2 linked regions of the Macaca fascicularis genome follow. The protein of the gene in region 1 purifies or fractionates together with the protein of each later gene. This does not show direct contact. Links are inferred from orthologs where the notes say so. Each region holds a gene or a part of one and is shown on either strand. Other genes may lie near its edges.

Evidence for each region. Proteins that work in one complex are often made in the same cells at the same time.
Region 2: the proteins of UBE2R2 (region 1) and FBXW11 purify together in Homo sapiens (affinity purification with mass spectrometry; 4 studies listed by BioGRID and IntAct, with this or other methods). This does not show direct contact. The link is inferred for Macaca fascicularis from reciprocal best matches to the Homo sapiens genes UBE2R2 and FBXW11.

Annotation. Positions count from the first base shown.
Region 1 is NC_088389.1:65,589,709-65,594,563, forward strand, and holds the start of UBE2R2 (ubiquitin-conjugating enzyme E2 R2), read right to left. Parts: upstream 3,284-4,855; 5' UTR 2,677-3,283; coding exon 2,500-2,676; intron 1-2,499. UniProt on the Homo sapiens protein: E2 ubiquitin-conjugating enzyme that accepts ubiquitin from an E1 ubiquitin-activating protein, and catalyzes its covalent attachment to other proteins by an E3 ubiquitin-protein ligase complex.
Region 2 is NC_088380.1:178,663,522-178,667,592, forward strand, and holds part of FBXW11 (F-box/WD repeat-containing protein 11), read right to left. Parts: intron 3,716-4,071; coding exon 3,466-3,715; intron 1,017-3,465; coding exon 898-1,016; intron 1-897.

The DNA.
Region 1 (4,855 bases):
TATAATATGGGAAAAAGTAGTAGAAAATAAAATCGAACAAACTTCTCACACAAGACTAAACCACGAAACCTGTTTACAAATTTTCAAACGTGTCAGAATTAAAGGTAAAAAGACTCAAAGCTTAAGAAATCTAACGTCGCAAAGCAGGAGATTAAATCATTCTTTTTAAATAAGGACTGAAGTTCAGAAGCATTTAATTTAAATAAGTGTATGAACACAAGGAATCCTTCCATACTACCTATTTCGAACGGACAGGGTTCTCCACACTCCTTTCCCAGACTTACACACAAATATTACAATTTGCAACCCATTATTTTCTCTCATGTACAAGTTTTTTTTTTTTTTCTGTTGTTTTTAACTGTATTGGAGTGAGATTATTCTAACTAGTAACCATTTATTTACTTTAAATATCGGTTGTACCAAACAATGACATTTTTTGGAAAGTAAACTTTATTCCACTAACATTAGCCAGCAGATTTTGCTAAACAATGCTTTGTCAGAAAAGGCATCATGGTCGGGCCGGTGGCTCACGCCTGTAATCCCAGCACTTTGGGAGGCCAAGGTGGGCTGATCACAGGGTCAGGAGTTCAAGACCAGCCTGGCCAATATGGTGAAACCCCATCTCTACTAAAATACAAAAATTAGCTGGGCGTGGTGGTGTGCACCTGTAGTCCCAGCTGCTTGGGAGGCTGAGGCAGGAGAATCGCTTGAACCTGGGAGGCAGTGGTTGCACTGAGACAAGATCACACCACTGCACTCCAGCCAGGGTGACAGAGCAAGACTCAGTCTCAAAAAAAAAAAAAAAAGAAAGAAAGGCATCACATAGATTCAATTTTGTACAACTCATTTTTCCAGTATGCATAAAAATTTATATCTGACAACAGAGAATATGCTTAACATAAACACAGCAATACCTTTCCACTTTGTTACTAATAACTTGCATGTTTTCTTAGAAATTTTAAATACCTCCATCTGAAAAGTATAGGGTAGGCTGACCACAAAAGATGAAGCCTAACAGTCGGTAGGGGTACCGCACTTACATAATATTCTAAAAACGTGCTTTTCTAAGTATTCAGTGACTATCACAGTAGCGAATATTAAACATTCCTGTATAAATCCCATCTCCTATAAAGTTGACCTAATTTCAAGCATAAAACTGAGGTTTCCACCTTTAGAAGGGTAGAAAACAAGAGTTAAGTAATTGGGTAGTCCTAAAAATACACATCACAACTACATGACTAAGATACTCATTTAAAACTTGTGCCAAGATAACCCCTCCCTTCCAAACTAAAATTGACTCACTGGCCTATTTTACTTAATTTTGGAAATAAAAAAATAAAACTAAATGGATTCCTAAGCACTCATTTCCTCTGTCTCTGCCCGCATCATTTAAAACATTCAAACTTTCAATCTGTGATTCCTCCCTGCAAAAACACTCAAGTAAAAACAAAACAAAACAAACACTCATTATCTCCAGGTTAACTACCTTGGAGTTAAAAAAAAAAAAAAAATTAGATTCTAGAATAACCACTGTTCTAAAACCATATGAAACAATAGAAACAATGTCTGTGGTCGCTAAGCAAACATATATCCCACCCAGAGAAGCGATCTCGCCTCAGATACTTGTCACCTGTGAGACCACCCCTTTAGCTAGAGTTAACCACTTGAGAAGGTTTCAATTTTGTCTCTGAAAGTGGGAAGCTATCAATCTCCCTACATGACTCGTTCCACCCTCTGTGGATATTTCTACCTGTAGAAAAAAAGGCTGGCAAACTTGGTGGCACAGTGAGGACAAAGGGCATTTTGAAAGAACCAGTGACTGAGGTAAGCAGAGAATGTGAACGGAAAGAGGGTTAAAGTTCCCCCAAAAGGATAATGACAAGACGCGGGCACCCCTTTTTTTTAACCACCCCTAGGGTCCCATTCTTCACCACCACCCATTGGAATGCAAAGTTGGCACTACTACTACCCAAGAAGTCCAACAAATCCTCAAAATGTCAGGGCACTCGGCAGCTTCTTAAATGACAAGCTGGTGCCCCTCCCCCACCCTCACCCCCACCCCCCCAAAAAAGAAAAGTCCAATCCAGTCGGTGCAGGTCACCCTGCCCTCTGGGGCAGTTCCAGCCTGCGCAGGGAGGGGTTCCGACCGGAGGACGAGAAAGCACAGACAGACCACCGCTCTTTCCACCCGCCCTCAGCTGGGGAAACAAAGACGGCCTCCTGCGCCTGTAGCCACTACCCTAACCAGAGAGAGACTCTCCGATTTCCCGGTGCAGCCTGCCCTCCCGCCCTCGCCCGCGCCCCCGCCCCCATGACAAAGAAAAGGCACTCGGCGAGCAAGGCCTTCCTGCCTCCACGGATGGGGGAGGGGGCTGCCGGGGTGAGGAGCCCCCTCCACTGGCCCGTGCTCATACTCCTGGTCCCAGGAACGGCAGAAAGCGGCGGGGAGCCGGAGGCCTCGGCCGCGGAGGCAGGGTCCGGGAGCGGGGGTGAGGGTACCTTGAAGTAGCCGCCTTCGTAGAGGGTGTTAGGGGGCCCGAAGATGGCCACCTCCCAGTTGTAGAGGTCGGACTCGTCCACCAGGGTGATCCGGAAGCCCTCCACCGGTTCCTCCTGCAGGGATTTCAGCTCGAGCATCAGGGCCTTCTGCGAGCTGGTCATCTGCTGCTGGGCCATCGCGGCGGCGGCGGCGGCGGCGCCGGGCCCGGGCCCCAGTCCTCACGCACCGGCCGGGCCGGACCAGGCCCCTCCCCTCCGCTTGCCCTCGGGCCGGGCCGCACCGGGCCCCGGTCTTCACACACCCGGCGGGCCGGACCAGGCCCCACACGGCCCGTGGGCCCGCCCGCGGTCCTCCTCACACACGACGCGGGCCGGGCCGGGCCCTTCTCCTCACACTCGGGCCAGGCGAGAGGAGAGGTCGAGGGAGTTAGGGGAATTCGCTCCGGGTCCCGGTCCCGGTCCTCCCCCCCCCAGGAGGGGGGCCTCAACTTTGGGGGGGGGGAGAGGAGGTGGAAGCGGAGGAAGGCGGCGGAGGGCCGGCGATGGTGAAGGGAGGGGGCCGGGCCGGCCCGGGAACGCCGCGCTCGCTCGCCCTCTCGTTCTCTTCGGGGGCCGTAGGGACCGGAGGGCGCGCGGGGCTGGAGGGGGTGGGGGGAGAGCGGCGTGCGGGGGTCTCGCGGCGGTGGCGGCGGCGGCTGCGCGGGGGGAGGGGCGACGGCGGAGGAGGAGGAGGAGGAGGAGAGCGAGAGCGCCTCGCGCCGCGGGAGCTACGGAGCCGAGAAGCAGGGAGGGAGGGAGGGAGGGAGAGAGGGAGGAGGGGCGCACGCCGGGAGCTGGGCGGCTCTCAGCGGCTGGCGACCCGACGCGCGTGCGCGCGCCCCTCCCTCCCCTCCCCCCACCGTGCCTGGCTCTTCTACACTACCACCTCCTCCTCCTCTTCCTCCCGCTTCCACGCCTCTTGGCCTCCCGCGCGGTCGCGGCGCTTTGTGACGCCGGCGCGTGTCCCCCGCCTATAAAGAGCCCAGAGGCAGCGGGGACCGAGGATGGGCGCAGGGATTGCCGTGGCCCCATAGTGACGGTTGTGCGGCTGGACGCCGCAGTTCCAAAGGCGTGCCCCGGAAGGGAACCCAGGTCCCCCGGTTCTCGGGGCCCTCCCCACTGTGGATCCAGGGGCCTCGGCAGCCATCCTGGGACGGGCCTGGTCGCTGCAGGCCCCTCCCTGTGACACCCAGTCTGCGGTCCCTCCACTTAGTAGCTACTTGATTAGGATGTGCTGAGAATGTGGGTCTTTTCCGTGGCAACAGACCTTCCCGCAGGCCAGCCCACAGGCAAATATGCCCTTGGGCACGTTACCCACCCTGGGTGCGGCAGTTCCACGTGAGAAACGGGGTAAGACAGAAAGGTCAGCTTCTGCTTCCCTTCTTAACTACAAAGAGGAAGTTGTGAGGAAAAAGAGACAATAACAAAGTGGGTCTCCTGCCCTTCTCATTGTGATTTGGGGCTACCCTTCGCCCTCCCCATTTGTAAAATTGTGCTTGAACTTTGACCCCTTATAGGTCCTTTTGGCTTGAATGTCCACCCTGGAACTGAGGGACTTTCGAGATAATCATAACCGAAATGAGATGTGGGGACAGTCTTTGGTCCCCGTGGTTCAGAATACAGTACTCCTTTCTCTTAGGAAGGCGTGTCCTAGGATAACTGCCTAAAAAACATTTCCTAGAAAAGCCAGAATACCGTGAGAGTTCTACACACACAATTTCGGAATCGGACAGATCTTGGTTCCAACCCTAGTTCCACACATTACTTCTCCCTGTCTCATCAGTTTTTTGTTTTTTTGTTTTGTTTTGTTTGAGACAGGGTCTTGCTCTATCACCCAGGTCGTCGCACAGTGGCGCGATCACGGCCCACTGCAACCTCCTCCTCCCAGGTTCAAGCGATTCTTCCACCTCAGCCTCCCAAATAGCTAGGACTACAGGTGCTTGCCACCACACCCGGCTGTTTCATCAGCTTCTGTAAAAGGGGATTAATTATACCCAACACAAGCAATTATAATGATTAAACGTATGTACAGCATTTAGCGTAGTGACTGGCACATGGTAAATGATTCATAGGAACTTGAAAGAAAAAACTTTTTTTTTTTTTTTTTGAGACGGAGTCTCGCTCTGTCTCCCAGGCTGGAGTGCAGTGGCCGGATCTCAGCTCACTGCAAGCTCCGCCTCCCGGGTTTACGCCATTCTCCTGCCTCAGCCTCCCGAGTAGCTGGGACTACAGGCGCCCGCCACCTCGCCCGGCTAGTTTTTTTTTTTTTGTATTTTTTAGTAGAGACGGGGTTTCACCGTGTTAGCCAGGATGGTCT
Region 2 (4,071 bases), on another chromosome or scaffold:
ACAAAGCGTGACGAATATAAGAGAATCAAGATTTAAGCTCTAAACTAACTTTATGGTATCTTAAAGCCTAAAATGATAAAGCAAACTTAAAGAGCCGTTATAGCTTTTTTGTTATTTGCTTGCCTTTAAAAAAAAACTTTGTAATAATCTTAAACCCAATCTTTATTTTGAACGAACATTAGGCAATTTGGTTATAAACACCAAAGTTTAGTAAAGCTTATGTAAAGCTACTAGTATGTGTATTTTTTTTTAATAATCTTGAACCCTATCTTTATTTTGACCAAACATTAGTCAATTTGATTATAAACCAAAGTTAAGTTTAGTCACTTATGTAAAGCCACTAGAGTGTGTTAAGACAGTGGGGAAATGGCACGGGATAATTAAGTAGATATTGAAGGCATGTTCTTAACAAGATACAAAATGTCTAAGGTTAGTTAGATTTATTAGAAAGCAAGGAGGCTGAGGGCTGGGAAGGAAAAATGGAGGTAAACGATCCCGGCAGGAATGGATGATTCCATAATGCAGTCTTGGGAGAGAAAAATAAAGTACACTCCCATGTGTTAGGTAGGAAGCTGGGAGCTTACAGGTGAGGGAAGTCAGAGCGAGTTGGGCTGCAGCACCCTAGTCTGTTCTGAAGTGCTCTGATATTAAGTGATCCTGGGTGGAGTTGAGGTTAAAAAACTTTATGTACTGGGGGAACACTGGAAGACCACCCAGGGCATACACGGTTTTCCCACTTGAGTATACAGAGCCAAATACATTTCTAAAAGTTACCTAAAGCTTTCTTATCTGAAACATCCCATTTACTCTGAGTTGTTTTGAGCATTAGAACCAGGAGATGAGTCAACAACGTGGCAAGAATCAGCCTGCTCTGTCAGCACACCAACTTCTACCCACCTAATGGTATTATCTGATGATCCACTAACAACCAGCCGATCCCTGTACTGGAGACAGGCAATGCCTCGCTTGTGCCCATTGAGAGTACGGACAAATTCACAGGTGCTCGTGCTCCAGACCTGTATAACAAATTAACAATATTTTAAAGAATGAATGTGGAAAAGTCCTCCCACAATATACCTTTCTTAAAAAGACAGCTTCTGAGAATGACCCAAATATGTGATTATAAAATACAGTGTCCTCTAACTCAAAGTTGGGAGGCTAGAGGGCAGACTAGACAGCATAACATTTTCTTTGGCTGCTGAGTAATAACACTGGAATGAAACACGGAGGGAAGTGAAGTCTCCAGTCGTTGAGATCTTTACAAAGAGAACATCTCCTAGATGGTTTGGATATTCATTTACCTGGAGGAAAGAGTTTGGGCCAGATTTTATGTTTTTACACCAGCTGACATGTCAAACCCAATGAAGCTAATGTAATAAAAAAGCTTCCAGCTGGGTACAGTGGCTCACACCTAATCCTAGCATTTCGGGAGGCTGAGGCGGGAGAATTGCTTGAGCTCAGGAGTTTGAGACCAGCCTGGGCAACGTAGTAAAACCTCATCACTACAAAAAATAAAACTAGCTGGGCGTGGTAGTGTACATCTGTGGTCCCAGCTATTTAGGGGGCTGAGGTGCAAAGATCACTTGAGCCCAGCAGGTTGAGGCTGCAGTGAGCCGTGTTTGTGCCACTGTACTCCAGCTTGGGTGACAAAGCGAGACTTTGTCTCAAAAAACAAACAAAAAGTTTCATCTTTCATATAATCCTCTTTTCCAGCATATTTTCTTGAACAGCTCCATTTGTTTTGACACATTACTTCTAATTGTATGTATGTAGAATAAATAATCCCCTCTTTTGTGATATTATCTGAAAGACTTAGATGTTCATAGACATCTCAATGTATTATTAGACAAATAAGGAGACACACAGCAACCAGAGTGCCCTGAATTATCTTAACAGCTGCATTTGCAGCTGAATGGGATAGATAAATATATCTCCACATGTAAAAGAATGGCATTTGACATCTACCTCATACCTTAAACAAAAATCTAACTCAAAATGGATCAAGGACCTACACGTAAGCACTGAAACTATACAGTTTCAGTGTCTTGATAAATTGAACATTATCAAAATTAAAATCATTTGTGCATCAAAGGATACCATCAAAAAAGTGAAAAGGCAACCTACAGAAAGGGAGAAAATATTTTCAAATCATGTATCTCATAAGGGGCTTGTGTCCAGAATATATAAAGAACTTATAACTCAACAATAAAAAGACAAATTATCAATTTTTAAAGTGGGCAAAGGATTTATAGACATTTCTCCAGAGAAAGTACACAAATGGTCAATAAGCATACAACAAGTTGTTCAGCATCATCAGTAATAAGGGAATGCAAAGCAAAACCAGAGACACCACTGCACACTCACTAGGGCAGATAAAAGAAAAGAGACAAATAACAGCAAGTGTTGGCGAGGATATGGAGAAATCCTCCATGCTGGTATTATGAAACAGCTGTTTTGTAATAAAGCTCAGACCCTCTCAACTTTCAGGCACTGGTCTCATACCAATTGGTGTGACTGTGGGAGTAAGCTGCCACATATAAATCCTAGTTGTTTAGCTTCCCAACTATCCAGTCTAAAGCCTGATGCTACACACTTTGTGATTTGTGGGGCTAGGTGTAAGAATGCTTTCCAGTGCTGGTCATGAAAAGGATGTTCTTTGCGCAAGCTGAAACCCCCACATACCACTGGCAGGACTGTAAAACGGTGCAGTGCCTTTGGAAAACACTTTGGCAGTTCCACAAGCCTGGGCAACAAAGTGAGACCTGGTCTCTACAAAAAAAAAAAGGGCAGGGGGCGGGCCTGGTAGTGCCTGTACTCCCAGCTACGCCGGGAGGCTTAGGTGGGAGCCTCAGGGGTCCCTGAGCTGAGGGACGGCTTGAGCCCAGGAGGTCAAGGCTGAAGTGAACCATGACTGTGCCACTGCACTCCAGCCTGGGTGACAGAGTGAGATCTGTCTTCAAAAAAAAAAAAAAAGTTAAAACAGAGGGTTACCATCCTAAGAAAATTAAAAACATGAAAACTTCTACACTAATATTTATAGCAGCATCATCTGTAATAGCCGAAAAAATAGAAACAACTAAAATGTCTATCAACTAATAAACAGAAGAACAATGAAATGTTATTCAGCCACTGGAAACAACAAAGTACTGGCTGGGTGTGGTGGCTCATGCTTCTAATCCCAACACTTTGGAAGGCCGAGGAATGCTTGAGCCCAGGAGTTCAAGACTAGTCTGGGCAATATAGCAAGACCCCATCTGTACTTAAAACGACAACAACAACAACAACAAAAATGGGACAAAGCTGATAGATGCTACAAAGCACATGGATGAACCTTGAAAACATTACACTAAGCACAGAGGAGAATAAAGATCTTACCAGGTACCAGGTTGGTATAAGCCACCTCTGCTTTCTCTCTGTTCTAAAAGGGACAGGAGGAGGCTGGGTTATGACTGCAGACATACTTACTTTGATGGTCCTGTCACCAGAGGCGGACACAATGTACTTGTCGTCAAAGTCTACTACATTGACAGCAGCCCGGTGGCCAACCAGGACACGGCGTAAAGTGATATCGGTCGCAGAAGCCATGTCCCACACAGCAATGGAGCGGTCCTTGGAACAGGTCACCATCAGTCCATTGCTGAAGCGTAAGTGCAGTACGGCCTCATTGTGGTGGATCAATGTGTTAAGAACTTCACCCGTGTTCACATCCCACACCCTAGGAGAGAAGAGAAAAAGCATGATGCTTAATTACGGAGATAGCCAGGAAATGATTCTGGCATCTGAGTTCTGTCTGGGTCTGCAATGGCTTGGATATGGTTTGTCTGACTCTACCAAATCTCATGTTGAAACTGATCCTCAGGGTTGGAAGTGGGGACTGACAGGAGGTGTCTGGGTCATGGCGGTGGATCCCTCACGAATGACTTGGTGCCATTCTCATAGGAGGGAGTTCACTCTTAGTTCTGAGAGAACTGGCTGTTGACAAGAGCCTAGCAGCTCCGCCCTCTCTCTTGCTTCTCTCTCACATGTAATCTGCATACACTGGCTCGCCTTTGCCTTCTGCCATGAGGAGAA